4 linked regions of the Lonchura striata genome follow. The protein of the gene in region 2 interacts with the protein of the main gene of each other region in a pairwise test. Links are inferred from orthologs where the notes say so. Each region holds a gene or a part of one and is shown on either strand. Other genes may lie near its edges. The genes, in order: FHL5, ATOSB, DNAJA3 and KIF20A.

The links.
Region 1: the proteins of ATOSB (region 2) and FHL5 interact in binary tests that used the Homo sapiens proteins (3 or more experiments, as listed by UniProt). The two-hybrid records come from large-scale screens. The link is inferred for Lonchura striata from reciprocal best matches to the Homo sapiens genes ATOSB and FHL5.
Region 3: the proteins of ATOSB (region 2) and DNAJA3 interact in binary tests that used the Homo sapiens proteins (3 or more experiments, as listed by UniProt). The link is inferred for Lonchura striata from reciprocal best matches to the Homo sapiens genes ATOSB and DNAJA3.
Region 4: the proteins of ATOSB (region 2) and KIF20A interact in binary tests that used the Homo sapiens proteins (3 or more experiments, as listed by UniProt). The two-hybrid records come from large-scale screens. The link is inferred for Lonchura striata from reciprocal best matches to the Homo sapiens genes ATOSB and KIF20A.

What each region holds. Positions count from the first base shown.
Region 1 is NC_134605.1:75,234,784-75,242,313, forward strand, and holds the start of FHL5 (four and a half LIM domains protein 5), read right to left. Parts: upstream 3,010-7,530; 5' UTR 2,998-3,009; coding exon 2,839-2,997; intron 640-2,838; coding exon 465-639; intron 1-464. UniProt on the Homo sapiens protein: May be involved in the regulation of spermatogenesis. Stimulates CREM transcriptional activity in a phosphorylation-independent manner.
Region 2 is NC_134642.1:40,208,875-40,216,340, forward strand, and holds the start of ATOSB (atos homolog protein B), read left to right. Parts: upstream 1-4,462; 5' UTR 4,463-4,544; intron 4,545-7,466. UniProt on the Homo sapiens protein: Transcription regulator that may syncronize transcriptional and translational programs.
Region 3 is NC_134618.1:3,662,889-3,670,893, forward strand, and holds the start of DNAJA3 (dnaJ homolog subfamily A member 3, mitochondrial), read right to left. Parts: upstream 3,017-8,005; coding exon 2,857-3,016; intron 2,758-2,856; coding exon 2,624-2,757; intron 2,239-2,623; coding exon 2,155-2,238; intron 1,620-2,154; coding exon 1,407-1,619; intron 683-1,406; coding exon 530-682; intron 1-529. Other genes in the region: CORO7 (coronin-7), read left to right, coding at 4,205-4,264, 7,165-7,261, 7,514-7,588. UniProt on the Homo sapiens protein: Modulates apoptotic signal transduction or effector structures within the mitochondrial matrix. Affect cytochrome C release from the mitochondria and caspase 3 activation, but not caspase 8 activation.
Region 4 is NC_134603.1:39,023,470-39,030,620, forward strand, and holds the start of KIF20A (kinesin-like protein KIF20A), read left to right. Parts: upstream 1-4,148; coding exon 4,149-4,280; intron 4,281-5,462; coding exon 5,463-5,537; intron 5,538-7,151. Other genes in the region: RPS20 (small ribosomal subunit protein uS10), read left to right, coding at 1-99, 830-903, 1,327-1,509. UniProt on the Homo sapiens protein: Mitotic kinesin required for chromosome passenger complex (CPC)-mediated cytokinesis. Following phosphorylation by PLK1, involved in recruitment of PLK1 to the central spindle. Interacts with guanosine triphosphate (GTP)-bound forms of RAB6A and RAB6B.

The sequences.
Region 1 (7,530 bases), on a different chromosome or scaffold from region 2:
TAATGATCTGAAAGCAAATTGTCATGTTTTGACAATTTAAACAAAAAAATATTTCTGAGTGAAAGCACTAGGATAAAGAACACAAACACAGGGTCTGGTCAATGTGGGAAACATGCAGATGATTTATCTAATCTGGCACTTCTGCTCACAATAGCTCTGTTTGTCTGCTTATGCTCACAGTGGGATATGCTTCCTAAGAACTGCAACAGAATCAAGGACATCACATGGACACATTTTACCCTGCATTGAACTCTTAATATTTTTAAAAGGATTCATAAGACCTGTTAGTGATCAGAAGTGTCTGCCTGCCTTCTCCCCACTGCTGGGAGAATTCCACACAAAGGAAGAGTAGTCTCCTCCAAGCTGTTCTGAAAGTCAAGGGTCTTGTAACTTGGTTATTCCAGGAGGTGGTTATCATTAAAAATGTGGTTCCATTTCTCAGCAAAGGGCCCCTGTTGTCTTACCAGGCATAATGGTCTTCTGGCAGTGAAAACACTTGGATGAGTACTCATCAGAGTAGCACTCGGTGCACAGCAAGACCTCGTCCTTGGCAGCAAAGGGTTTCTCCACGAGTGAGCGACTGCACTTGGCACACCTGAAGCACCCCTCATGCCAGTGGCGGCCTTTGTAGGCCAGATCCTTGGAGAAAGTAAGTCCATGTTAGTGAGAATATTTATTTACAGTGGTTTTATCCTTCAATTCCTTCCAGAACTAAAACAAGAAAGGAAGAGCATCGCAGGGGCGGACCCAGCCAGAAGTGTGCTCAGGGAAGAGGCAGGTACTCAGTGTCACATTGTTGTGTGGATCTCTTGCAGATGCCATTAGGAGCTTCTTTGACAGAATGTCCTTCCTTATGTAACACAGAGGTATGTTTGTATTGGAAAAACAACATTATATATTACAGTTGTCTTTTAAGGGGAAACGAGTGATCAACATTTTTAATGTGCACAGACCACTGGAGAGGAAGTCCATATTCTATAGAATTTGAAATTAATATTTTCAGTGTTACTACTTCCAGCTGACATGACAGAATGCTGTTATGTCAGAAATCAAGCAATTAAAATCTTATTGAGAACAAAATAATTATTAGCAAGATTAAAAAAAATTCCTTTTGATATATCTGATACATCTGATATAAATCCCCCTGAAAACTTGGCAGAAAAATGTTTGTTTAAGAGTCAGTGGGCTTAAGGGATGAAAGAGCTAACAGTATATATATGAGATCCTGACTAAGAACTCAAAAAAAAAAAAAAAAAGACCAAACAGCAGATTTAATTTCCCCACCGTTAGAAAAGACAGGGAAAAATGCACCTCCAAAAAACCCTCCCAGCTTAAAAAACAAACCCTTCCAGGACTCTTTTATAAGTAAGAAACATGAAAGGGCACAAATCCAATCTCATTGTTCTCCTTGATCATGTCCCTGCCTTTTAAAGAGCTAAAAATAAAAGAAATACCATGCTTCACTTCAGGAGGTGCTGAGCATTTACCAGTTGCATTTGCTTTCGTTAGCACTCTGAACCTTGCAGGAACTCGGCTGTCAGCCCAGAGCAGCCTGAGGCAAAGACTGAGTGAGGAGGAGAGGAAGAAAACCAAGCTCTAACCCCTTGGCAGAGGTGAGACAATCAGCTGTAGATCTCTGTGTGCCACTTTTCTAGATGTCTCTAGCCAGGTGCACTCCTTTCTTACACGTCTGCTTTTTCCTCTCATTTTTCCCTTCCATTCAGTCCAAAGACATGGCTTTTTGTTTATGATCCTCAACAAGAGTAATCCTGTCACTTATTTAATTTTTAATTTTAAAGATGAAATTAAGTGAACTCAAAGCATGTGTTCTCCTGGTGAATCTGACTGCTGCTACGTGTACAGTGTTGCTGTGGGTGAAATGCTGATGAGAGTTTGAGGAGTGTCTTCAACCAAATCAGCATTTTCCTTAGATGATTCCTGGATGTAGACTATGTGCTTTGAAGTGCTTGGGCTGGGAAAGCCTTCCAATATGTTTATTTTAATATATTTCTGTCCTTTTATTTCTAAGGAACATAGGCAAAGAAAGCATGGGGAGAAGGTGACCAGTACACACTGAACTTGGCAAAATAAATGATTTTTGATAGGTTTCATTTGACCTTAAAATTCAATGTCAAGTGTATGTCCTCTATATTGAAGTATGGGGTACTAGAAACCCTGTCAAAAACCACAGAAGAGCTTGAATTATTAATTAATATTGTAAAAAACTGAGAGGTGAAAGACAGGCAGCAGAAACACTGCCACTAATATACCATCTGTGAGATGAGCAAGGTAAGCATGGAATTTAGCAGAAATTAAAAAATACTTTATTTCCAAAAGAGAGAGAGAGAATATGCAAATTATAAACGTTGTCTTCTAAGCTTGGCATCTGCTTGTCAACACCTACAGTAAAAGTAATTTATTCAATGCTCAAAACATTTATTCAATGAACATGTCTCAGAAATTCTGAGGTGTCAATCAACCTGATACACTGAATTGCACCATCCACCCTATCACCCCTCCAGCACTGTGCAGCCCCTGCAGCCAATGAGTGACTGGAGGTGAAGGATGGAGCTTAGCTGAGGTCCACACACCCACCACAGCCTTGCTGTAAACCTGGGGCATATGCATGTGCAGATTTCCTCATCTTTGATCCCAGAGCTTTCCTTTTTCATGGAAAATAGCACTGTTTCACTGCTGTGTGTGGATGTACAACAGCTATGGCTAGGTCTCTTCAGCAATACAGGGATATGAAAAGGGGTGGATATCAAATCTACCATTAAAGAAATTTGATTTGTGTATAATTTAACAAGGAACAAAAAGTTCAAGCCAAATCTTTACCTTGGAGTTGCACTCAATGAGCTGCTTGCACTCCTGGCAGGGGTTGGCATACAGGCTGTCATAGCACGGAACACAGTAAGCATTTTCTTCTCTTAGTGCATATTTCCTGCCACGGAGGGACTGCAGGCAGAAATGACAATCTGTGTGGCTGCTGGTCATCCTGCTGGGACCCTCCACGTGATCTGCAAAAGATGGAAAAGTCGTGTAATTCAGTGCATAATGCTTGCTCAAATACTAAGTAATGCTGCATTACCTGTGAAAGACAGGCATTTCCTGGTCATTTGCAGTGCCCTGGATTTCTTAATGCTGGCTTGTTCAACAACAAAATGGTAGCCTTTAACAACATATACTGTGAATTGTATCACTTACATGATGAGGAGCAAGAGGGCTGCTTCAGCTTATTCTAACGCTGTTTCAGGCCAGACACCTGAAAATGAAGCCAACTTCACATTCCCTACATAAAACTACTGGCATTATGAGCATTATGTACTGGATCCTGAGATATACTTCATCCAGAAATTGGGTAATGGAGATAGAAGCAATAATTCAGAAATGAAACCAACTGCAGAGTTAAAAGGCCAAAGAGAAGAGGCAGGCACTTTGTAGTGTGTTCCTGACTTGCTCTTGATACTCGTGTCCTTCTACTCGTTCCTTTCTTTTCAAAATACCCCCACATCTACCTGACCCAATGGAAGGAAGACAAGGGGCTCCAGGATATATGACTGTTTTTTGCATTATTCCAACTGTGCTGCTAATATTTGGCGACATTTTAAAGTCACACAAATATTCCCGGAGAGTAAAAGAGTAAAATATAAAGAAAAATAAACTAAATAGCAAGTCAAACAAAATCAGAACTCAAAGAAAGTTTTCCTTGTTGTTATTGGAAAAGATTGTTTTTCTTACATTTTTCTTTATTTCTATATTGGATTCCACATTGGCAGTACCAAAATAATGTGAAATAGTTTATATTTCTGTGCCAGACAAGTGCAGGAAATACCACAAATCTATTGAGAATCAGTTGTATGAATTTCCCATCCTTCAGTTTTTCAGGCTTAAGAGGCTTGGACAAACATCCAAACCTCAGCTGCTTATAGATCTGCAATAATAGATGTTTTAAGAATTGTGGATTTTAAGCCCTATTTCAGTCTTCTTATTGCTGGTTGGATCATCATCTCTTTGCTAAAATTGGGTCTTGATTCTTGGAAATGAAGGAAGAAGAAACCAGAAAGTTCATAGTGAAGCAACACCGAAAACATCTGCTGGGCTCATTGGGTTGCACTCTTCATTAAACTCAATGAGTGTATCTGCAGCCAGCACCAGCAATCATTAATTTTAGAGGAGTTGAAAACAACTGGAGAAGGTCTAAAATATTTATGTGTCAGTGACTTTGGGCAGCTGAAATTTTTGCACTTTGAATAACAGGGCAAATTAGTTTCTCTTAACCAGATGCAGAGCCTGAGAATAAAGTAGAACATGCAGAAGACAATATAAGAACATAGAGAAAATTTGAGGGAGTTCTTATCCATGACAAAGCCTACATCTAGCCCACTTAGAGTTGCAACCTCACACTTTGTTTTTATGCACTCACTGATGGCCTGAACCATACCTACAGTTGAGCTTTAAAAAGGCATAAAATATTTTCCTGGGTTTCTGCTTTGGTAAGCTCTAAACCAAAATGGTTGTTTGAGCTGTGAGAAAAAAGCAATTACTGCAGGTTTCCCCTAGCACCAACGCATAAGGCCAGGCATTTATGAATCTGTTCTGGGAGATGTAGTAGTAAAAAAGTGAAAAGGGGGCAGGGAGAGCGGCTGTCATACTAATTTCAGACCAAAAGTAATGACTTGGCTAGAAAGCTTGTTGTTCCTATAAATTGAAAATCTTTGGGGTTGAATTGATATATGGTATTTCTTACTGCCCTTAATATTTGTGTCAGCCAAGACAGTGTGTAGTAAGGAAATAATCTGGAACCCAGATCAGTGGGAAACATGCTTTCTTAAAAATATTTCTGATGTGTTTTATGTGATATCCTTGGAAAAATAATATAACAGGGCTTGAATCAGGACTTCCATTTCCTTAAGATCAAACAGATTTGAATGTGTAACAAATAAACCCATTTATATAAGAAAATTACATCCATCAGCTTGTACATTTACAGAACATGACATATAAAACCAGGCAGAGCTCAGTTCATTTAATACACAATCACAGTCATGACCAAAGTCAAGGTTAAGTTTTGCCCATTTTGCTCTTTATTGGGGAAGAAGTATGAATTGGTGTCTAAGGACACAATCAAGGAGTGTTTATGGTTAACTCCATAGTTAAGGTCACAGAAAAGGCTTGAAAACTGGGTTTCAGAGGATTTTCATTTTTTTTAGTGGGAATTAAAGTTATGAACTGCCTTGGAGGATAACCCCAAGTGAACCACCTTTCTGATCCCCTCCGTGCTGGATCAGTACTCCTGCTTCCTGACAGAGTTTCATCTCAGTCTAAAAGTGGCAACAGCAAAATCCAAACAGGGCATTCATAAAAGTTTTGTTACTTATAGCACATTTTTGTTACACAAAGCTCACCAACAAATAGCTTCCCATGTCTGTAGAAACATCTCTGTTTTTTTATCCTAATAAATGTCAATCAGGTTTTCTAAGTTATCAAAACCTCTGCATTCCAAATAATTTTCTTTAAAACGTGGCTATCTTGATTAATGCTTTTTCTCCCCCAGAAAGTCAGTCTGTTCCAGGAAGCACAGGCTGTGTGCACAAACAAGACCCACTACTGTAATACTCCAGAACTACTGAATTTGCAACGTGATTATTCTCTTAAACCCCTATATGGATATAAGAACAAAGTATTATTAATCCTGTTGTACAGATGAGAGCTGTTGCTTGAGAACTTTAATAAAATACCCCAAGAACAGAGTCAAAGCCTGAGGGTGTCCTTGGGCTGCTTCTCTAGTAAAATGCTCAAGGTGCCCAAGACTTTTCTTCAGAAAATCTTCAGTTTGACCATGAATCATCATAAAAGACCATGTTTGGGAATGAAGCAGCAATGGTATGCAAAAGAATGAAGATTTTTTTGAAAACCTTTTGGCAAAAATATGGGTAACCTTTGAGAACTACTTTTACCATTAGAAAATGCAACAAAAAAGGTAAATCTCATCACTCCCAGCACCACTTATCCATGCTCCAATAAATAAGTAATGGTACGAGCGCCACACAGTGAAGTAGAATGTTTTTCTTGTGCTTTGATCCTAATCTCTAGAGAAATATGTTTACTTTAAGTTTGCTGGAAGCTAGACTTTGTGTTTTGAAGGTCAGCTAAGAAATCTCTGGAGATCTGATGTTATTCACTCTCGTGGAATGAAATGCTGACTCCAGCATTCCAGCTGCTAACTCCAGTCCTAGGCACAGGGAAAGACTGCCATGTTGCCCTTCCTTGGGAAAAGATGATTTTATTATTTAAATTGGAACATTTTCAATTGGAAGCTAAATACTGTTGATTTTTATGTACCTGGTTAGCAGGGATACGAGCTATCATTTTAAAGGTTAAGAATATTCCAAGAAGGTGCAGAGAGATGTTGCCAAGGACATGAGGACATTGTAACTGGAGTCCCTGGGGTCAGATTTGAGGATGCAGCAGTCTCATGGACTGAATGATAAAAGAGATGATAATACAAAAAAGTCAGTCAGCCTGCTGTTAAAGCAGATTAAGATAGAATTTAGCTACAACAAATTCAGACAGGGACTTTCTGGAGAGTCAAATTATTTCACATAAAATGCACTAGAAGACTTCCAGTGAAGACAGCTGTAAGAACATGGTTGTGAAGTTGAGTCCTGATAAATATGGAACCATCAGGAAAAGAATGTTTTGGTTTTTTTCCCATTGGAGCTAAAAAGCAGAGCCAGAAGGTTAATATACATTTCAATAATTAATCTTGATGTTTTCTATAAATATATGTTAATCTTCCTGACATCATAAAAAAATAAAAAGCCCAAAAACATTCATACTACTGAGAAAAGAATTAGTATATACATATGGATGTAGATATGTACATACAGGTAAAAGTGTTCTATCTTTCACTTTGTGGAAATTCTAATGGAATATTTCTTAATCTAAATATATCTACCACTGAACTCCATGATCTTTTTCTTTAACAACAAACTATTTCTTAGAGAGGCAGAAAGAAAAAAAAAAAAAGATGGGAAAAAATCCTTTGAACAGCACTGAAGGATAAGAAAAACAATTTGATATCTTATGATGAGGACACCCTTGCAAGTTGCCCTAGGCACTTGTTCATTTTCATGTAAGTGCATTCTTTTATCTTCTAATGCTATTTGCCTTATTTACATGAATTTGCTGACAATTTTCTCTATTTCTATTTTTGTCTCATGCATTTACATACATTAAGAGTTCTGTAATATTTGCTTTTCTAAAAATGGCTACAGAAGCAATAGAAACTAGGGGCATATATTACAGATCAAGGCAAACCAAGAACCTACTGGAAAGAAGACACAGATATTAACTCTGAGCTATCTTATCTCTGTGGCACAGGACAGTAATACAGCGTCAGGTCCTGGAAGCATCTGAGTGAGTGCAGAGTTCTCACTGTTGAAATCCTCCTTTAAGCAGCCAGGACATATGCCAAACAGGACACAGCTGTAAGAATCCAAATATTCTGCTTCATGGTCCACAAGT
Region 2 (7,466 bases):
CATAGAAATTCTTCTTGCTGAGCAACCTTAGCCTGCCAAGCTGTAGCCAACAGCCTTTATCCCTTAGAACCCAGACTGCCAGCATCTCCAGGACAGATCTTTCGAGTTTTGTACATAGCCAGGACTCCTGTTTAATTCTGGGAAGTCCCATGTGTGTCTCAGACAACAGTGAAGTCTGTAGCACTGGGTTAATGACCTGTGTCAGACTCCAGATCATCCATCCTTTTTTCCTTGGTCTCTAAGGCCCACCATGGTACCTTGGGGATCACAATGCTGCCCTCCTCTACAAAGGTGCTGGGAGACAGCTAATAGGAGAGGCAACACTGGAACTATGAGTATAGTGTGGGTATGGGAGCAAAAGAGCAGCCCTACCTGGCCCTACTACCCTGTGTTTGTTAAAGTGATCTCAAATCCATCATTCTCACTTCTTCCTTTCCCACCAGGACTCTGAGACATGCCCAGTTTGGGATGAGGCTTTGGTGGGCACTGGGACTCAGTCAGCATACCACAGTGACTCCATCTCTATTGTGACCCCAAGCTCTGCTTGGAGATGTTACCAGAAGGAATTCCCACAGTGCCAAAAGAGAATGCCATCTCTTCCCCCGAGGGCAGTAGGACTCCCCCAGCAGGAAACTCTCCAAGTTTGATTTCTATCTTCAGTTTTACAGCTGTTTCTGTCAAACAGGTAAACCAAGCACATCATGGAACCAGGTTCTGGCGGGGGAAAGGTCCTGCAGCACTGGTTCACATTCCCCCAGGAAAATTCCCTAGCTCCAACACAGGACCACAGGGCACTACAGTGCATCTTCTCCTTGTGACAGTCTCAGAGAAAGAGGGACAGGCTTTGGCCTTTGTCTCCTCTAGTTGCAAAATACAGGGAGGACAAGAAGCATTAAACTCCACAGAGGCAGGCATTGCAGAAGATACAGTCCATGCTGCATGCCTAGGACTGGGACTGTGAGAGATACAAAAATGCAAGCCTTTTTGTGGCAACACACCGTTAAGAAAGGAAGTGACACCCTATGCTCCTCTAGTACACCTGTCTTTTCAGCTTTCTCCAGCTCCTCTACCAGCTGGGATGAGGCCATGAGTCACCACACAGTGCCTGGTCCAGCCCTGCCATTGATCCACACCCCACCCAACCTGCCACCACTTGCCAAGGGCCCCAAAACAACGTGATAGCTGATTTCCACCAGCTTCTTCCAAGGTCCTTTTAAAATTCCCAACAATCTCTTGCTGGCAGGACTCCAAGTCTTACCAGGCTTGCTTCTGCACATGGGTCCTTTATTGCTTTACCTACCTATGGACTTGGATCAGATGTACATGGTATGGCACAGCCTGCTGGCACGGGGAGTGTACAGGTGATGCAGGGGTAGCATCACCCCTATACAGGCACATCCTGCCCCATCAGCACTGACAGATGATCCATGTACTTCTCAAGGGCACTTTTGCAATTGTGAAACCTGCCCACACCAACAAAATGAGTGTGTGCATGGGGATGCCGCTCTTCCATGATGAAAACCATTAAATTAAATTAAAACTGGGGCAGGAACCTTGCTTGTGTCAGCTCCTCAGCATCCTGGAGCTTGGCACCTGACAGCCTTTTGAGTGGGAGCAGCCAGCCTGGCAAACAGGCTGAACAGCCCCAGCTCGCTGCAGGCAGGTTGGGGCAGCACTGGCAGCTCCAGGAAGGAGGTAACCCAGGGATGAACTCACCACCACTCAGTCACCTCACCAGGACACCCTTCAAAGGGAAGCCCTGCAGGCAGAAAGGCTCAAGACGGAAGGACGTCATTTCACCATGTGCTGCTTGGGACACCTCATCTTCCTGGGAAAACACCCTTCTCCCAGCCCTCCTGGCAGGCGAGTCTGGAAAGTGGCCAACTCTGGTGCAAAGCCATGCCTAATGTGCTTAAACCCCTTGTTTGCCTTCACCAACCCTTGTAAAGCCCTTTTCAAGTCCCCAGTGTGTGTAAGGAATAGATGAAGGCTACTCCTGGCAAGGCCTAGGGTGGGCCCCTCTGTAGAGAAGTAATATAGCTTGTGCAGTAAGTCTGCTCCATCCCCAAACCTCCCAAGCCTCTGGAAGTTTTTCCAGATGCTCTCCAAATCACCACAGCTTGTGTTACTGTGCCCATCAAGTGGCCATAGTTGAGGTTCTGCCCCATGGGAAGAGCAATGGGAGCAGCCTCACCCCATCAGACTGGTAAAAGGGGCTTTTGTGTCCTGCTCCTTAATCCTGCTTCTGAAGTGAGAACATGTTTCAAAAACCAGGGGAGGTTGCTAAGGGACAGTGTGCTCAGCAGGGACATCGCTCACAAACCCTCAGCACTCAGAAGCGGGAGGTAAATAACTTGGGATATTATTAATCCTTCACTGCCCACACAATAAACAGAAATGTATTATTCTTGTCAAGGACAAAGGAGCCTATATTTCCCCCCAACCAAGGAGCTGAACCAGCAAATTTTTTTGATTCAGCTCCACAGTGGTTCAGCTTTGACTGAAGTTGTTCCAGTTGAGTTCCTGTTCAGGCCAATAAAGGTTCATTAACCATTTTTTAACTGTGAACTCGTTTCAGCCAGTTTACAGTGGAGAACACAGCCTGTGTAAGCAGCTGTGTGATGGGGACTGAGCCTTTTTCAGCCCATCCCTGGTTTCCATAGCCTCTGCTGCCTTCCTGTTGGACTCCAGAATTTCTTGTCAGCTCAGCAGAGATGACATGCAGGGTCAAAAGACAGAAAAGCTAAATTTTGCCCTGGAAGTCTGTAGAAAATCTGCACTGTGAAGGAAAAATGGGCATGTGGGGAAAATGAGCTTCCTGGGCTCTTCCTGGCACCAGCACCTGTACACACAAAGTTTGAGTCAGCGGCTCCTAAGTCACAAGGAACACTGGAGAATCACATGTTCCTGTCATTACACTCAGAAATTAGACTGTTCCATACATTAAATACCTTTAGTGGCCCACAAGCTGAATGTGGGGACAGCCAGGGGTTATTTAACAAGAAATTGCTTAGAGCAGCAATCTGAGGCCCCAGGAGAAGATGGGGTCCTGAGTTGGCAGCTGCTGCTCCATGGCCACATAGCTGTCAAGAGGACATTGAGCTGCCATTTCTCCCTGCAGAGAGGCACGTGCAGGGCACGGCTGTCAGAGAACCGTCTGTCCTGCTCATGGCTATTCCCAGACAGCATCAGCACAGCTTTATCGATGACAGCACCTCCGAAAATAATGCCCCAGGATCAGCAGCAAGGCAAGGGGAGCGTTGGGACTCAGCAGCCAGTGCACTGCAGGTTCACATCCAACTCACTGTGTGCTGTCAGAAAAGGAGATCTTGGTTATATTTATCATTTGACGATACTGGTCCCCACTATTTTTAGAGTGGTGTTGCAGCTGTAGCTTCCTGAGGAGAGAGAAAAGTCGATTGGGGGACTGATCTTTACCGAACTTCACCCAAAAGTGATGAAGTCAAGGCATCTCTTCCATGACCTAAATGGCCCGTGGTCAGGCTGGTGAGCTGTGGGCTGCTTCCCCTCGGGGCAGTGGATCCTGCTGGCATCCCCACAAGCGGGTGGCACTGCCCAGGTACCCCACGGCTGCTGGGTGTTTTGGTATCTCTGAGCAGCCATATCCAGGGGGGCAGCTGCCCCCCGGGTCCGGTGCCCACGGTGGGCTCTGGCACAGGCCGGCACAGCCCGGCAGTGTGGGTAGATGGCCCCGGCCTGTGGGGCACCAGCACCAGCTGGGGAGTGGGGAACACCAGGGTGATTCCACTCGGGGCATGAGACAAGGGACACCGCGGGGGTCTCACTTTGGGGAGGCCATCTCCATGGGCAGGGAGGGTCATCTCTGGGGCTGGCACAGCTCGCATGCATGGTGCTGGGCGAAGGGTGACTGTGGAGTTGGGACATGCTGTGCCCGTGGGTGTGTGCACGGGTGGGACACGCCGTGGGGCCGGGGGCACCTCTGGGGTGGGACGTGGTAGGGACGAGACGGCTGCCCCTTGGGGTGGCTGTGCCCTTGAGTGGGACATACCGTGCCCGTGGGGCCGTGCCCGTGGGTGGGACACGCCGTGGCCGTGGGTGGGACATGGCGTTCCCGTGGGGCCGCTCCCGTGAGTGGGACACGCCGTGCTCGTGAGGCCGTGCCCGTGAGTGGGACACGCCGTGGCCGTGGGTGGGACACGCCGCGCCCGTGGGGCCGGGGTGCCCCCTCAGCCCGCAGGGTCAGGGGCGGCAGTCCCGCCCCGCGCCGAGCCAGGCCCCGCCCACGCCGCCGCCGCCGGCCAATGAAGCGCCACGCCGCCCGGGCCCGCCCCTTCCCCGCTGTCATCACACTCCCGCACGTGGAGGGGGCGGGCCGTAGGCGGGGTCTCGGCGCGGGGCTTCACCGCCCATTGGCCGCGCGGCCCCGCGGCTCGCCCGCCCCGCGCCCTGCCCCGCCCAGAGCACCAATCAGCGCGCGGGAGGCGTGTCCGCAGCGGCACCCGGAAGGAACGCAGGAGCCGCGCACAGTCGGGGCCGCGGCGGCAGCGGCGGAGGGGGCGCTGGTGGGTCCGGCGGGGCCGCGACGGGTAGGGCCGGGGGGCGCGGGGCACGGCCGGGGTCCGGCGGGGACGGGCCCCCCGTGCGGCGTGCGAGCGGGTTCGTGCGCCCCATCTCTGCCGCCGTCCTCCGGTTCCAGAAGGTTCGGGAGGGCCGTTGGGACCTGGAGCCCAGACCGCAGGGGCGAGCCGGAGCTGGGGGAGGCGCGACCAGGAGGGGCCGTGATCGGGTAGTATGGGGGAGGTCGTAAACTGAATGGGCAACTGCGAGCGGTGGGGGGCCTTGACCGAGATGTGGGTCTCTGTGCTGGGGAGGTCGTGACCGGGATGGGTGTCTGTGAGTGTGGGGGACTGTGACCGAGGTGGGGAGCTGTAGCCGGGGCACTTGGGCCGGCAAGAGGCCTGGCACCGGCGGAGGCTGTGGCAGGAGGTGCCGAGGCGGGGGGGTCAGGCGGCGGTGTGACCGCAGAGCGACTCTGGGGGGCCGGGGGTGCCCGGGGGAACTGAGGCTTCGGGAGGGCAGTGTCTGGCAGAGGCAGGTGTGGACCGAAACGGGGTGCAGCCTTTGCTGCGGGGTGTCCCCGATCCCGGCTCCCAGTTCCCCGGCAGCTTAGGGAGGCTGCGCTGCCCCTGGTCTCGCCCACCAGGGCCACGTCCTCTGCGCTGTGACATGGGCTGGGACAGCCTGTCTGCAGCTCTGCCCGCACGGTGGGGCCTCCTCCTCCTCCTCCTCTTTTTCTTCCTCCCGCGGGCATTAGCTCCAGCCCAGCTGGGACGTGGTGGGTTGTCCCGGCACGGCCCGCGGCGGTGGGGCCGGGTACCCCGGGGGCGCGGGAGGCGCGCCTCGGGCGGCACCCGCCCCGGGGTCCCTTCCCAGGCCCCGGCGTGGGGTGCGGGGTGGGCGCCGGGGCGGATGTGAACCCCGGCATCCGCCGCCCTCTGGTGACAGCCAGCCGCGGGCGGAAGGGCCTGTCGGGGGCACTCCCCTCCCGAAATCAGCAGCTGCCGTCCTACCGAGGTTTTCAAGCATCTTGCAGGTTTTATACAGAAACGGCAGCCCGGGTGTCAGGTTTGGAAAGGTGGTCTATTAGGGAAGTCAGAGGAAATGGCTGCATGGTGATTGCTGTTGAGGTGGGCTTGCTCACGACCCACCCGTGAACATAATCCATCAGTATGAACGGCACACACCTCCAGGGTTTCCACACTCCTTTTATTATTTTTCTTTGAAAGAAGGCGTGTGGAATTTGCAGTTGCAGTGGAAAATGCATGGTAGAGGAATGTTGTGCTCTAAATTTAAATTTTAAAAGTAATTTCCACTCATTGCCTTTTTAAAAACATCAGACAAGCAGAGATGTGCTTGCAGACCTGCCCTCTCCCTGAATCGTATCTGTTGGCATCAGTAAAGAGGAAAAGTTGAGAAATTGTGGAGATTGTAGCAAGCTTGAACCCTGACACAAAGCAGTGTCTTGGCAAGCTTGGTAGCACGAGGAGGTGAACAAGGTCCGGCAGGTGACATAGAAGAAAACTCCCAATGTGATAGTGCTAGAGTTACTTTTGGCAGGGCTGGGCTTTAGGTTGAGGACTGGGAGAATGAAGTCATCCTGTAAAGCCTGGTCACCGCCTTGTTTCACAGCAGCAATTCCCATGGTTTGGGTCTCAGCATGAGTGAGTGGCAGGGTGCTGATGGGGACTCTACATGTGCCAGCATGCAGTGCCAGCATGCAGTCCCAGCACTAGGGCAGGGCACTGGTGGGAGTTGGCAGGGCTGAGGGGTTCGGATGGGGCTGGTTCTGAGGGATGCTGCTGCCACAGTGTTTGTTGCCAGGGTGTCAACACTTGCCCTTGCCTGACCTCCAGCCCCTGCTCCCATAACATTTAACCGTAATACTGTATTCCTGCTGACTCTGGTGGGGCCTGGACATGTCCCTTCCCATAGAGACTAGGGTGGTCAGGACAGCAGAGCCCTGCTGTCACCACAACTATGTCCCTTGGTGAACTGGGCTTTTGGACCAAGGTCCACCCACAGTTGGAGCAGTGCTGGGGCTGTTTCAGCTGTACCACTCACCCGGGGTAGTGGGTGAAACGCCTTGTTTCTATTCCTCATGTGAGAGGTTTCTTACCCACTGAAGGAAGGAAATCTGGTGGGGTCACTCTGTACTGTGGGAACTCCATTGTTCAGAGCCGCAGCTTACTGAGGAGAAGTGCATCTTTGCCCCGGTCTTCCTCCTTGCTGTCTGCTACAGGCTGCTTGCCCTGGCACATTTCTGCATGACTGTGCTGAGTACCAGAGGCCTGAGATACCCGAACTTTGTTCTTTGAGTCTGAGGGTGATTGAAGAGGATGGCTGTTGATCTGAGTCTTCAAAGTCAAAGACTCTTGGCTCTTCCCAAGTCCTTTACATGTTCTTATTGCTCTGGGCCTGCCCAGGTTTGTCCTCTGCTAGATCTGGTTGACACCATTGTGTGATGTGTAGAAATGCACTATGACTGGGTGCCAGGACACTTCCTGATGCAGAATAAGAAAACCTGTTGTTGGTAAGTATGTGGCCACAGACAAGAAAGGAGAAAGTGAAGCCATATGGTTAGAAAAGTGGTGTCCTCAGCATGCTGTCAATGGAGCTGTAATGAAATTATCAGAGGCTTTGGTAGCTGGAGGAATTAATGAGTTGGGTTTGAAACAGTACAGATGTGAAGGGCAGCATGGGATAAATCCTGAAAGGAGATATTTGTATGCTGGCAGATGGTTTGTAACAGGTTACTTAGTGAGATTGTTGCAGGTTACTTTGTGAGAGTCTTCTCTGAGAGGCTTTTGCCTGATGTCTCTCCATGTTGCATGATTCCCAGGGACCTCCTTCTTCCAGGGATCTGTGTGGGCCTCTGTATCCTGGTAATGCCATATTACCATGTTTCTGATCCTCACTTCTGTTTG
Region 3 (8,005 bases), on a different chromosome or scaffold from region 2:
ACAAAGCTCCTTAGAGTGCTACAAACGTCTGTGTTCAGATGAATCCAAGGACAATCCATTTACATGGATTACTGCCAGTGTCCAAGAAAACCTTATGGTGACTAAGCCCTGGACTGAACCACTGAAGCACACAAGGAATCAGATGCATGGAAAACCAAAGCCTGCAGCTCCATCATTACCTGCATCTTCTTATTTTATGATTACCCTTAGGTTTTCACCACCTTCCTCCAGCCCGCAAGTCAAAAGATACTAATTTATTGCCTGAGGAATTTCAGAGCTATTACATGATATTCATATGGTTTGTGGGATGTGCAGTAGCAGAGGATCCAGCCTGAAGGCTCATGCTTTCAGCTGGGCACAGCACTTTAACACAAAGAAAATCTTCCTAGTGCCTACTAGCATCAAGCTGACACTAACTCAGCTTTGCCCAAGATAGGCTGATGAGTGTGGTGAGAATTTTTCACCATGGAATGAAGTGACCCTCCCCAGGAAGGGAAAGCACAGAACTGGTGTGCTGCTCAGCACTTACCATGCCCGTGCCATTGCAGTAGTGACAGCGCTGAGCTTTGGTGCCAGGTTCGTGTCCTTTGCCATCACAGCGCACACAGGAGTCCTGGATGTTCACCACAATCTCCTTGTTAACACCTTTTGCAGCTTGGGTGAATGTCAGTTCCATGATATACTGCACAGGAAACATGGATATAGATCCATGACTGAGGTTTGACAAGGAGACTGAGAAGAGTTTAGGCTAAATACTAAACAATGCTAAAAATAATTCTAAAAATTCTCAGTTAATAATGCTAAAAGTTCTCAGTAAAGATGACTGATCAAAATACGAAATTCTCCTTATATGATAAAGGTCATTTTTAGTAAAACCAAGAATACCCAACACCAAACATTTCTGAAGACAACACATGAATCATCAACACTTAAGGAGCATTTAGCTGCAACACGAAGAACAAGACAGATTTTATTATGGGCCTCACTGCAACATGAAGCTAATTAAGTTGCAAAATTAAGCCAATTAAGCAGCAGCCAAACATATTGCTGGAAGGCCTGGTTTATAGCTACAAGGTATTTTGTGGGTTTTAGCATAACAGATCAAAGGAGGCATAGGTAAATCAAGCTGCAGCAGAAACGATGCCTCTCCAGCGATGGAACAAGTCAGCAGTACTGGGTGATGTCAGTAAACACCAGAGAAGTAGCTCAAACCCAGAAAAAATATCCTGTCTGGAGGTGTGGGGTGTGTTCCTGCACAGCTTAGCAAAACTAAGAGACTCTGCCCATGCCATGGGACACTCACACACTGACATCCCCAGAAATAACTCCTCACTGAAGCTCCCACAGCTTGCAACAGAAGCCGGGGAGAGACACTACTTTCATACCTAATTAAAGGCACCTCCTACCTCCTGTGGCTGGTCAAAGACAGTCTGAAAATCGCCAAAAGGTGATCCCGAGAACTCCCCAAAGATCTTCTTGAAGAGCTCCTCGGGGTCGATGGAGGGGCCGCTGCTCCAGTACTGCCGGCCCGCGCCAGCCCCGGCCCCGGCCGCGCCGGCCTCGAAGCTCGCCGTGCCGTAGGCATCGTACTGCTTCCTCTTCACCTCGTCACTCAGCACCTGCGGCGAGGAACGCGCCTCAGGGCAACTGCGGGGCCCAGGAGAATCCCTGGCTCTGGGCTCAGACCTTCCACAAGGTCTCACCCAGCTCTCGGCACCACAGGAGTTAGGGACAAGCTGCTGCTTCCCCGGTGTTTCTTGGCTCATCAACAGAAAAATTACAAGATTTTACTACTTTATAAAAAACAGCAATAACTTACACTAAGCAGCTGATCATTATTATATCAGCTAAAGAGTGCTGGAATCCAAAAACAGGGCTGGGGGAGCACAGTGAAAGTCCCTCTGGACTTTTGGTTTGATTACTTAAACTGATAATAATTCCACAGAAGTGACATCTATGCCAGTCACTGCTAAGGAAGGGGAAAACTGAAAAAGCCCAAAGCAGCTAAATCAGATACTTGGACCAAGTAATGTCTCGGGACAGAGGTGCCCCAGATTGAAGTGCATCAAAAAGCAGCCAAGTTTTTACAGGAAACGTCTGCCCTCATCCACCCTCTAGTTTTTCCTCCTCATCACAACAAAATCTTGCTATTACCTCGTAGGCTTCTGCCAGCTGAGAGAACTTCTCCTTCGCTTTGGGATCATCCTTGTTTGTGTCAGGGTGGTATTTCTTTGCCAACTAAAAAACAAAACCCAACCATTAGGGACAGGCAGGAGTTATTTACTTAAGCATATCTCACATGCCAGGAAAAACACATCGGGCAGAGCCTGGCATTCACTAGATGCATTCCTAGGGATCTAAAACTCTTCATTTTCATTTATCAACCCAAAACAAGTAACTACAGGAGCTGCTCCTTATCTTCTCAGCAATCCCAGATCCTTCTAGAAGCGATGACAGCACAGGCAGACCAGGCTTTGGAAGCGATCCCCAAGGCCATGTGCTGAGCTTTCCCGCTGTCTCTAGCGGCTGCAAACACGGGATGGATTTGTTCCCTGCCCCAGCGAAGGGGCAGCGCCGGCTCCTCTCGCTGCCCGGGGGCGCAGGCCGGCGGCTCCCGGCGCACCTGGTAATAGGCCTTCTTGATCTCCTTCTGCGTGGCGGTGCGGGGCACCCCCAGCACCTGGTAATAGTCCTCCTTGGCGCGGGCCGCGCTGCTGTGGAAGGCGGCGGCGGCGGCGGCGGCAGCGCGTTTCGTCCCTGCGGGAGAGGAGGGAGAGTGGCCGCCGTGAGGGCCGGGCCGGGCCGGCCGGAGCAGGGGACGCACCGGGGGGAAAGACCCGCGCCCCCCCCGCTCACCAGCGGCGCAGAGCCCGGCGCGGAGCAGCAGGAGGCGGCGCGGGCCGCGGGCGGGCGGGGCGCGGAGCCCGCGGAGCAGCAGCAGCAGCGGCGGCCGCGCGTTCCCCGCCCCGCGCCCCGCGGCCGCCCCGACCCAGCGCGACGCGCACCCGGCCGCCATCTTGGCCCGCGCGCGGCGCTGCGCCTGCGCACCCTGCGGCGGGGACGGGCCGCGCATGCGCACGGCGCCGCGGCCGCGGCTGCCCCGTGCTTGCGCATGCGCGGGGCTCGGCGGGGCCGCGGGGACGGAGCGGGAGGGGACGCGGGGCGGGGACGCGGCCGGGACAGCCGGGCACTGCCCCCTGCCAGAGCCCCGTGCGGCGGGGCCGGGAACCCGCCCTGAACCCGCCCTCTGCTCTGCCTTCGCGGCCCGCGCCCCTCCGGGGCTGCTCTCCTCCCCCGGCCGGTGACATCTCTCGCAGGAGTGGAATAAAGGCTCCGAAAGCCCAGCGGGTGCAGCGCCGCACGCCCACGCTCAGGCGGCACAGCAGCCTGGCACGGCGCCCTCAGCGAGGCAGCAGCTTTCCTCTGCAGAGGGGGAGGACGATTCGTGCCAAGCGTGTCTCTCTCCCGCCCGCGTCCCCGGGGCTGGCGCCTCCGAGCGCTCCTCGGCACAGCTCGGGCCCGCGGCGCGGGGGAGGCTCCGCGGGGCTCAGCGGCGACAGGGACGTGCCCGCTCCTGCACACGCCGCCCTCAGCCCGCTGAAAGCGGGGCAGGAGCCTGGCTCCGCCGGCGTGGGTGACACCCGGGCTCCAGCCGGGCCCAGAGGGCCCAGCGGGCTCAGATCCAGCGCTCCCTGCTCCTCCTCCCGCCCCGCAGCTCTGAGTACACGACGGTCTCTGTTCACCGCCGGCTGCCGGGCCGCGGAGGAGGCGAGCACGCCGAGCCCCCGGCACTGCAAACCTCCCGCCGGCCCCGCGCTCCGGCCCCGAGCCCGACGGAACCGCTGCCCTGTGTGGGAGGAGAGCGGGGTGCCAGCCGGGGTCGCAGCACGGGGTGACCACGAGCCTCGGGGGGAGGCCGGGAAGGCGCCGGGACCGCCGGGCAGCCACCCAGCGGTGGCTCCGACGCCGGGGTTGGAGGCTCTGGCGGGGGTCCGAGGAGCCGGGGCTGGGGGTCTGTGCCCCGCTCACGGTGACACACGGGACACACGGTGACACACGGGACACACGTGAGGGGGTCCGGCGGGGCTGGCCCAGGGGCGGGGCGCGGGGCGGGGCTCGGCGCGGGCGGAGCGGCGGGGCCGGGCCGGGCCGGGCCGGGCCGGGCTGGGCTGGGCACGGCTCGGAGCGGTACGGCCGGAGCACCATGAACCGCTTCAAGGCGTCCAAGTTCCGGCACACCGAGGCCCGGCTGCCCCGCAGGGAGGTGAGCGCTGCGGGACCCGCCGGTAGCGGGGGATCGCGGGGGCGGCGGGGCCGGGGCTGCCGGCGGGCAGGGACAGGGATGGGCACGGGGACAGGGCAGCACCGGCCCCGCCCCGCGGCACCGGCAGGGCGCGGTCCGGGCCCCGCGGCATCGCCGCTGCGGCGGGGCCGTGCCCGGCTCTCCCGGCCGCGGTGCGGGTGCGTCCCGGGGCGGCCCCTCCTTGGCACCCGCGGCTGCCCATCCCGGGCTCCGCGGAGGGTCCCGGCCCCGGGGCGCTCCGCAGGTGGGCGGCTGGGGAACCCCAGCCCTCTCTGGGGCCGGTGCAGCCCCCGGCCGGCAGCGGCTGGCGTGGGGTACCCGTCCCGTGGTGGCTGCTCCCCTCCTGCCGCTGGCACGGCTGGCACAGGCGGTGCATCCCCGGTTCTTGCTGCCCGCTGCCGTTCGGTATCTCACCCTCCTGGCCCGTACCAGCCAGGGAAGCACGCACCGAGAGCGAAACGCTGGGCCTCGCTCCTGCCACCCCGCTGTGCCACCCCGCTCCGCAGGCACGGAGGAAGTGCTGGCCCCACGGGGTGCTGCTGAGCCCCGCCACCCTGCCCGTGAGCTGTGCGGCTCGGCACCGCCGGGGCCAGGCAGCTCTGGGAGCCTCGCTGGGCAGCACGGAGCCGGTCATGCCCAGCCCTGGCCTCTGCTCCGTGAACAACCAGCCCCAGTCATGCCAAGCGTCATGATCCATCCTGGCACGGTGTTGGCAGTGGGTAGCCCTGCCCTGCTGTCTCCTAAACCGCAGATCTGGACCGGGGAAATCTCCCAGGTCCCTGTCCCTACAGATTTGGTAGGGCAGGGGCAGAGATGCAGGGGCAGGGCTGGGTGAGTGGTATCAGGGAGCATTACCAGGACACACAGCCCTTCTGGGGGTTCCCCAAGCTGAGTACCCTTCACCCAGCACCTCCTCAGCACCGTGGCCATGAGTGAGGCTGCTGCTGCTCCCAGCCCTTGGGTGTGCACACATTCCTTGTCTGTAATTTCCCAGCCAGGCTGTCCTTGCACCCACCTGTGGCCTGTGCTCACCTCTGCAAATCCAGCAAGGACCCAAAACATCCTCTGAGCTTCAGCTGTGGGAGGGGACATGGTGTGCCAGCCCTGGTGTGTCTCAGGTGACTGAAATCTCGGTTTGGATGAATGGTTGGCTGTGAATCTCAGGGTTCAGATGAGGCACTGGCAGCCGGGAGTGTGCGTGCCTGTGGGGTGGGACATGGCATCCTGCAGGCAGGGACATCCCATCCTGGTGTTGGTTCTGTGGTGGGGGAGCTCCGAGGGGCAGCGTGCTCTCCCTGTGTGCAGGGAGGGATCTGCTGTGCAACGCTTTTCCAAAAGGCTTTTCTCATTCAGGCATGAAACGTATCCTTGGAAGTGAGGCCACACACTCCCAGTAGGGCAGCAGGTGGAGAAGGAAGTCTTGTCACCAAGCCCATCTCAGGTGTCACAGCGGGAAGCTCTGTTGTGTCCCCAGCTGAGCACCTGTTTATGGAGGCACAAGCAGACACCCGACCTGGCTGGATCAGGAAGCACAGTGTAAACATCAGGGATCACATCTGATGCTGCTCTTCAGGCAGCATCTGCAGGGCTCTGCTGGCAGATGGCCCTTGAGAGCTCACAGTTTGTTCTAGGGATGTAGCCAGGATGCTTTCATGTGCTTTCCTGGCCATGCTGCCACGCTGCAGGAAGGATCGCTGCCTTGAGGGCTGCTGCCTGTGTGTGTGGGGAAATTGTGGGGTCAGGATGGACCAGCTCTGTGAAACCTCACTTCAAGGGTCCTGCTGGCACCCCTGGGTGCTGGGGGTCAGATGTGACTGGTGTCACCCTCACTGAGGGTTCAGTGCAGGGTGGTGGGATGCAGATAGTGGGGCCCTTATTCCAGGGTCCTGCTCATGCTCCTGACCTGTTCCCCATCCCCAGTGCAGCCCCCTGCCCACATGCTGGGTGTGGGGACAGGAACCTGCCTTTGGCAGGAGAAGGGTTAACAGGTCTGCACTGAGCTGTGAGGGGAGGAAATGCTGCAGGAACCACTGCTCCCTGTCAGGCCTCAAACGGAAGTTGTGCAAGGAGAGGAACCCTGGGGCTCGGGGTTTCCCTTCCCTACCCAGGTATCTGCCCAGTTTGTGGGGTTTCCACTGCTCGGGACACCTGCTGCAGCTCCGGGGGCTGCTGTGGGCACACAGGCCTGGTGTCAGCCATAAAACACCTGCCATTGCCACTGTCAAGGGTTGGACTTGGCCCTGGGAGTGCCAGGGAGCTTGTAGCCCTCGTGGCTGCTTGAGGTGGGGTGTCCGTGTCGCCTGGAGGGGGTCTGGCTGATGGAGGGTGTCCCAGGGCCCCACGAGTGCAGTGCTCAGCCCTGAGAAACACTGCAGAGTGGGAGTTTGGTTTTGAAGCTGTAATGCAGCTCCTTGGCTGTGTGTCCATGTGGGAGGTGTGCTGCTGGAGGTGTCTGTTGGCCTCAGTCAGCCACAGCTTGACCCTGTGGTGCTTCACAGCCCAAGAGCTTTTGTCCCATCCAGATTCTCTGGCACCAGTTATTGCAAAGACCTTGGACACTTCCCACAGTGGGACAGCCCAGAGGTGGGACAGTCTGGGTGCTGGGATGCTCCTGTGTCCCACCCTTCAGCCCCAGTGAGGGGCTGTGCTTTGTGACAGCAGCAGGAGCAGCCACGTTGGCCTGGGACACCCCAGAGGACAGGATAATCCCGTTGGCATCGCCAGTCTCCAGCTCTCCATTGGCACGGCAGCTCCTCTGGGGCTGAGGCTCTCTGGCCATGCTGTGCCAGTGGTCCTGCTGCTGTGCTCCAGGCCCTGCCATAAGCAGGCAACCCTGATGAGGTTTTTCCCTGTGCGCCCAGGCGTGGATCAGCGGCATCCGGGCAGGCTCTGCCCCCTCCTGTGGGAACCACGTGAAGGCCAGCTGCCGCTGGATCGCCTTCAGCGCCGAGGCGGCCGGTGAGGAACAAGGGTCCCCAGCACTGTTGGGGAGTGGGATGGATTTGTGCCAAGGGTCCCCGTGGGGCTGGGTGGTGGGTCAGTCCCCCTGACCCCCGGGGCACTCACCAGGGTGAGTGGAGGAGGGTTTCCCTGAGAGCCCCCAAAGTGCTGACAGTCCCACACCTCTTGGCTTGCATTGCAAAGCTGGGTGCCCCTCGTGTGTCCCAGGCCGGGGGTGTTCCTGACCTGCTCCTGTGCCCTCTCCTGCAGGTGTGCTGGGCATTGTGCCCCTGGAGTGTGAGGATGGAGGCAAGAGGACAATATCTCAGCTCTGCTGCCACTCAGGTGGGTGTCAGGTGCCACCTTCCCCCTCCACAGGACATGTTTGGCTCCACATGGGCTGTGGAGGTGGCCCGGGTGCTGAGTTCAAGCCTGGCAGGCTGTGGTGAGCTGTCTGCCAGGCAAGGGACATAGGGACCTGCCAGGGACCATCACCCATGGGCAGGATGACATGAGGAAGGGCTCTACCAGGCTGGCATCAATCCATGTTCCTTCATCTCTCAGGCTGCAGAGAGGCCTGAACATGTAGCTCTTTCTCTCACCCTTCTAGCACTGCCTTTCCACATTACTCATAGCATGCCCTGAAATTCCCAGTACACCCAGTGCCAGGCTGGAGTTGGCATCGCTGAGGCATCGCTGCCTCCAGTGGCAGGAGGAACAAGCTGGACCAGCAGCTCTGATGTGGGCAGAGTGAGTGTGGCA
Region 4 (7,151 bases), on a different chromosome or scaffold from region 2:
CATTTAAAGATACTGGCAAAGCACCTGTGGAACAAGAGGTGGCGATCCATCGCATTAGAATTACTTTGACAAGTCGCAATGTAAAATCACTGGAGAAGGGTGAGTAGTACTTCTCTGCTTACTTGGGTAGCTTGTCAAGTAATGAATAATAGGTGCCATGTAAGGCATTGCAAAATACAATGTACTGAAACCAGTTGTAATTAAAGATGTTACTGTTCGCCTTTTTGTACTTGCCTCGGCTCGCAAAGCCAATCAAAGTGCTTCACACACCAGAAAGTAAATTCTGATTTAATTTTTAATGAAAGTTGGTGTTTTGTGGGTTTTTATTATGTGGAAAACTTATGTCATAATGACTAATGTAAGAGAGTGCAGCTTCTTCCCTTTAGTTCTTACGGAGAATTTTTAAATAGTTACCATGCTTTGAATGTATAAGAACTGAAAGGCACTGGTTTCTTGATATTTTGCCATTTGTGTTATGAAGAGTTTAGTGTAACGTTCTTTAAAAAAAACTTTTAATTTAGGAACTAGCTTTGCCAGTGTTTAGTCATATAATAAAAATGTAAAAAAAGTTACTATTTGCAGGATCTTCAGGCTGATAACAGCTTAAATACGGTTTAAGCTTGTAATGCCTATTACTTACTGTTGCACCATGGCTTTACTTGTGATGTCACAACACTTTCAGTTGTACGTGGTTGGCTGTGAGGATAATGCTTTAAATGAATGGCAGTGATCGCTCATACGCTATTCTGAGCCAACATCTTGTTTAAAATACGTGCTTAAAAAAAATCAAAATAGTTGCAAACCTGAGCCATTGCTTGTCTTTTTTCAGTCTGTGCTGACTTGATCAGAGGTGCTAAGGAAAAAAACCTGAAGGTGAAGGGACCTGTTCGCATGCCCACCAAGGTACTTGACACTGTTTTTCTGCCTTAAAAATTGGTTTTCTTTCTGCAACTGTGTGCTTAAAAACATATTTTTTAAAGAACAAAAGGTGAGGTGAAAAATAGTGCTACTAAACTGAGGGTAACCCATTGTAAAAAGATGATTTCACAAGTTGCTTTGACAGCTACTTAGGATAACTGTTAAGTACAAAACTTGTTGACTGTGGAAGGGGCTTTTCTGTTCACTTTATTTTAATAACAAACTAATTTTTTAAATGAAAATAAATATGTAGGGAAGGAGTGTTAACTTAATCAGCAGACCAAACTTAGTAGGTAGCTTTCTAATGCCATAGATACCATACAGTATTTGTAGGTGATCATCTTTTCATATGATTGTAGATTACTCCTCTCAGTGCATGAACTAAATACCCCCTGTTTGACTTTGCAGACCCTGCGGATCACTACCAGGAAGACGCCTTGTGGTGAAGGTTCCAAGACCTGGGATCGCTTCCAAATGCGTATCCATAAGCGGCTCATTGACCTGCACAGCCCTTCGGAGATCGTGAAGCAGATCACTTCCATCAGCATCGAACCAGGCGTAGAAGTTGAAGTTACTATTGCCGATGCCTAAATGATACTCATCATTGAATAAAGTTGATTTACAAATTTTCATCATTTGTTTCTTTTCTTACGTTTGCCAAGAGATAGTTCTGTGCTGGTTTTTATGAAGAACAACAGAAACCACAATCAGAATGCTGTGTGAGAAGACTATATTTAAGGAAGAATATGCCAGCTGTAAATAGCAGGAAAATTTAACTTGGGCTCCTGGTTTCATTGGAGTCTGGCAACTATATGGTTGTGCAGCACTTGATGAAAAATATATTTTTAATAATTTAAGGGTTTGATTTTGGCTGAAATGTTAGTTTATACACAGACATTATATACAGTACCTGCATTAAAATTGATATTTAGGTAAAATTACCAAGTTTTTAATTATTGGTTCTTGCTGTGCAAGACTGAACTAATGCCTAGCTTATTTGGATTTTTTTTTCCCCATGTGTGTCACAATCAAAGGATCCTGGGGGTGCTAGTTGTAAAACTTCATAATTTGTGATTAACACAGTGAATTGAACAATTTTATTTCGATGTGCGTGTAGAGTCATAAAGCTGAACTATGGAACTACCTAGTTGTCTGGTTTAGATTTCCATAGATATTAATGCTAATAGCAAGCTTCATATGTAAAGCAACGAAGCAGCCATTTTTTTTGCTGCTTTTAAGTCTCTCAAAGGAACTGTGACTAATCTTAAACCAACAAAACAAAGCCCAGAGTTCTAGAAAACACTTGTTTAAATCCATTAAGGATCAGGTCGCTCCAACTGCTTCAAGCATAGGAGACAACTTGAATTCTAATTAAAACAAGCAGTGGTGGTTCTCTGCAAGAGATCCTCTGCTTCAGGTCGTTTATGTTTGCTAAGACCTAAAATTGACCAAAGCTTGAGCTTTCTTACTCAACAGATACAAGAGGCTTTCAATTTCTTTAAGGCCTTACAAGGATTCTCACCCTCCACTTAGGCTTGAGAGCTTGGGTAGAAGGGAGGTGAGTGAGTTAATGTGAACAGATTGTTTCTCAAGGAAGTAGGCTTGACAATTATGTGGAGGGGGAAATACCCCCCAACACAAAATACCTGTGTCTTCCTTAAAGTCTGTTTCTGGTAATACGCCACAAATAAAAGCTGCCTGACAAATAACTTCTAGCTATAGTTTTAAAATTACTTGTATTATATGGATTGCTCTTTACAGGAGTAAATGGGCAAACAAATAGCATGTGGAGATCTGGTGGCATGAGTTACAGACTACTTAAGTAGTCTGATTACAGAGTAGCCCTGTGTCAAACGTGACTGGAGGGATCTAGGCACGGCTGGCTGGGTTTGACACTATTTCTGCCTTAGCTTTTTCCCGTTGGTCAAAGCGGGAACAGTTTTGGTATCGGCTTACACCTGGCTGTACCTCTGACTTGCCGGATGCCTCTTAAACACACCTAAATGACCTGAAGTCCCAAGGACCAAATTCCTTTGTCATCTCTTCACTTATCTCCAAGTTACCCATAAACACAGATGCATCTTTCCCTTTGTGTATGGGTGCCGCTCTGTGCAGAAATACTGCTGCCTGCCTGCTGCGAGCAGGCCGGCTCGCACCGGGGTGCGGTACATTTGTTACCGGCAGGGTCGGTCCTCAGCTTCTGGAAGGCGCTGGATCGCGGAGTCCTCCAGGCTCATCCCGCCTTCCCCCGGCCCGCCGTCCTTGACCTGCACACTCCTGGCTTTCGCGTGACCCGTTTCGCGATTTTATTTATTTCCTGTTTCGTTTTCTACTTCTACACCGCGGCAGCGCCGGGACGGTTGCGTAACACCACGCTAACTTTATATAACCCGCTCGGACGGAAACATTTAGGTACCCGCGTATCCCCCGCCCATCTTCCTCCTCCCCTTCTGCCAGGCAGAACACCCTCCCTCCTCTGGCCGCCCGGCAGTCGGTTCAGAGCTCTTCTTTGCCGCCGTGCCTTACTAGGGACCATAACCACACCCGCCGCGTTGCTCCGCCCCGCCCCGCTCCCTCCCGCTGCCCCCATTCCCGCCTTCCCTCCCGTGCGCTGTGCGGCGGCGCCCCCTGCCGGGCTGAGGCAGCTCTGCCGGTGCCTTCATCACCCCCCCCATCCCCGCTCCCCCGCGCTCGGCCAATCAGCGCCCGCCTTCCCCCGCGCTCGGCCAATCAGCGCCCGCCTCTCCTCCCAAAACGCCCCCCCACGCTTACGCGGGCCCGGCTCGCGAGTTCCCGCGCGCGCCAAGGTAGCGGCGCTGGCGGGAGCGGGAATGGGAGCGGGCCGGGGGACCCCAGCCCGGCCGGGGGACCCCAGCCCGGCCGGGGGACCCCAGCGCGGCCGGGGGACCCCAGCCCGGCCGGGGGACTGCGGGTGGATGAGAGCAGTGCCCAGCTGAGGCTGCTAGCGCGCTTTCCCTTGTGTGTTACGTAGTATAACCTGCCGCGTGGGTTTTTTTTGTTTGTGTTTTTTTTTTTTTTTTTTTTGAAGGTCATACTCCCCAAACTTCTCTAGATTGCCCTGTCTTCTTCGGAAGTGCTCGTTTATATACGAGCCGGCCCCATCTCTGTTATGCTCCGTATGTATTTTTGTTCGTTCTCTCAGATAATGATGGGCTTTTTTTTTTTTTTTTTTTTAATCCCTTTCTTTACAAGTTCCTTTGCAGAGAACGATGGCTGATGAGAGGAAGAACTATGTTTCCACGGAAGTGTGTGATGTGTTGGAATCGGTTTCTTTTCTGAGTGTAGATGGTAAACCTTCCCCCTTGGAATCAACAGTATTGCCCAATACAGAGGAACAGCAGGTGTGGATTGGTTTTACAAGGTGTATTCTGGTGAAACTGGGCTGTTTATTGATGGATTTTTTTTTTTTTTAAGCTTTAATAAATGTTTCTTTGGTAAGAACTGCTGTACTTCTCTGCCCCGGGATGTGTTTGATTCTTCTGCTTATTTCTCATTGTTTACACACGGGTCATAGCTCGCACCAAATGCGAACCCATGGTCAGTGCTATGCGATATGATGTGCTAAACCTTGTGAAAAAAACAAGTAAAGGACTTCAGTAATTGCAATTTGAATGTAATGAGACTGTACTATTCTTTTTAATAAGCTTTAAAAAATACACAGATCCTTGATGTAAAAACTCACTAGGTGCTTGGAAATAAAAATCTATAATGCTCTGCTGTGCTTGAGCAGAAGTAGTTCTACCCAGCTCTGCGTTTTTAGAGGGATCCGTTTCCTATGTGACTTTTCCTCAGATGATTTCACTTTGAGTGATTACTGCTGGTCATGACAGGGCTGTGGGGAACTCGAGTAAATCCATCTGCTGAATGAAACGTTGCCAAAGTAAAGACCAAAACTCCTTGAGAAAGCAAGGAGTGCTGGGATTCCTCTAAAATGCTTCTTGCTATAATTGCTTTACTTGGGAGGAGAGAGTTGTATAATGGTTGGGGGATAGAAAAGGCCGCCTGGGCAACTGAGACTGGTTGCCTGCTTGCTACTGTGAGGAAGCTGAGGGTGTGGTGGTGCCTGGATGGTGGTTAAGGAAGTGGTCTCTTGAGGCTAAGAATGTGTCAGTCAGTGCTAATTGAACACGCTGCATACAGAATGAAAGTGCAATACTGTGTAGCAGCTGTTAAACACAGCTTGAATTCAGTACAGCCGGAGACCAGAAGGTGGAAGCAGTGCAATTCGTGCCCCTGATAGTGTGCTCTTTTAAAATCACGAACACTGGTTTTGTTGTGAAAGAATGCTAAAGGGAGGGGAATAGTTGGGGGGGGCACAGGAAAAATGGGTTGCTTTAGGACAGTAGAAGGGAAAGAAGCAAATAAAAGCTTTGAGTCTGAAATTGACATGAAAGAAAACATAAGACATTAATATAAAATAGGAAACAATATCAGATACATATGCTGATATGATTCGGGGCTGTTCTGTTTAAAAAGTGGCAATTATAACTGTGTTTTGTGTCTTTCTTCTTTTTAATGAATAGGTATATGAGCCTTTGAAAGTCTTCTTGAGAGTGAGACCCTTTTCTATAGCAGAGCTTGAAAGCCATGAATCCCAGGTTTGTTGTAGAACTAAGAAATAATTTTTTTTTCTCCTCTGAACAACACATAGTATTATAAGGCCAAACTTTCTTTTATATAAGCTATGTACTGCCCTTGGAATGGAATATGGAATTATTTGGCATCTGGATAGATGCAAGATTTTTTTTTCCACCCTCACGACTTCTAATAATTTCTATGATATAGACATGTACACCTGTAGCTCTTCAAAGTTTCACTGGGTATATTATTTAAAAATTGGTCTCAACTCTCTGTAGTGCTGAAGATACAAAGGAGTTCCATGGAAGAGATTATGCAATTCTAGTTGTAATTTGACTATCTGACTCTTAAGCTTCTTTTAAATGCTTGAATAATCTCCTACCTCATCCTGATGACTTCTTTCTCAGCCTGTCAAAAATCTTCTGTAACCTATACTGTCAGATTCAGATGCTTCAGTGTTTCATACATACACATTTCATACAAACATTTAGAAGTGCTCCTCCTTCCTGCATTGTTATCACTGATGAAAAGAATTCCTTTAGCTGTCTTTGGAGGACAAAGATCTCTATATCATATCTCTTAGCCCTTGTCTTTGCAGGCTGTCTGATTGTGGAGAGGTCAGCTTGAAGAACTCTAAGAAGCATTTAATGCTAATTCTTATTTGCTTCTTGCAAATAGTTTTTTAAAAATGCATTTCTTGCTTTTGATCTACTGGAGTTGGAACCTTTGTATTGTTTTCACTTGGATAATTCTTCCCTCTCTTGCCCCCAGCTTCCCTTTGCCTTTTCTTAGCTCTCCTTGAATAGTGCTTCCAGTTTGGTAAATTCCACAGTCTGAGCTGGCTTCAATTGTAAATTGATTTGCAAAATCAGATTGTTTCAGGAGTTGTTGAGTACATTCCTCTTTGGAGTGAGACATTTCTTAAAAGCAGGGAAGAAAAAATGAACATTGAGGTTTGTACAAAATTTTTTGTTTCATGTGGTTCAGGCTGAAATAGTTGAACTTCCAACCTATTAGCTGTATAATCTGTTTTGCATGTGATTAAGGCGTTTTTCTGAGCCTCCAAAACCAGAATGATTTAAAGATCTTCAACATTTTCAGTGTTTTCTACTTTCTTTATTATCACCTGAATCCAAGAAGAAAATGCTTGGTAACAAATGGAAGAAACCCACACAAAACAGTCAAGTAAGCCTCACTTCCTGATCATTAAATCAGATCAATGTAATTTGTAGGTCTTTTATTCCTCCTTGCCATGCATAATTTTCAGGAAAGCACCTTTGTTCCAAATATGTGGCACAAAAAAAAAAAAAAAAGTAGAACCCAGGACTGATTCCTTACAGTTATAGGCTGATGCTTTAAACAAAGACAATCAGCAGGTTAACTGGTCAGTTGATGCTTAAAGAGATAATGATTTATAGAAGTTAAACTTAAGAGCTCTGGGTGAAATTCTGTACTCCCTGTCAGCAATTGTCCAGAGTCACCTGTGGGAAAGTAGGATATAAATGATGTGTGGTTTTGGATATAAATGATGTGTTCAGCACCAGAAATGGTCCAGCTCCTGCCAACTTACCTGCAGGGTTAGCTGGGGGAGACCAGTGGAGTGAATTGTCACCATCTGGCTTCCATCTCTGCAG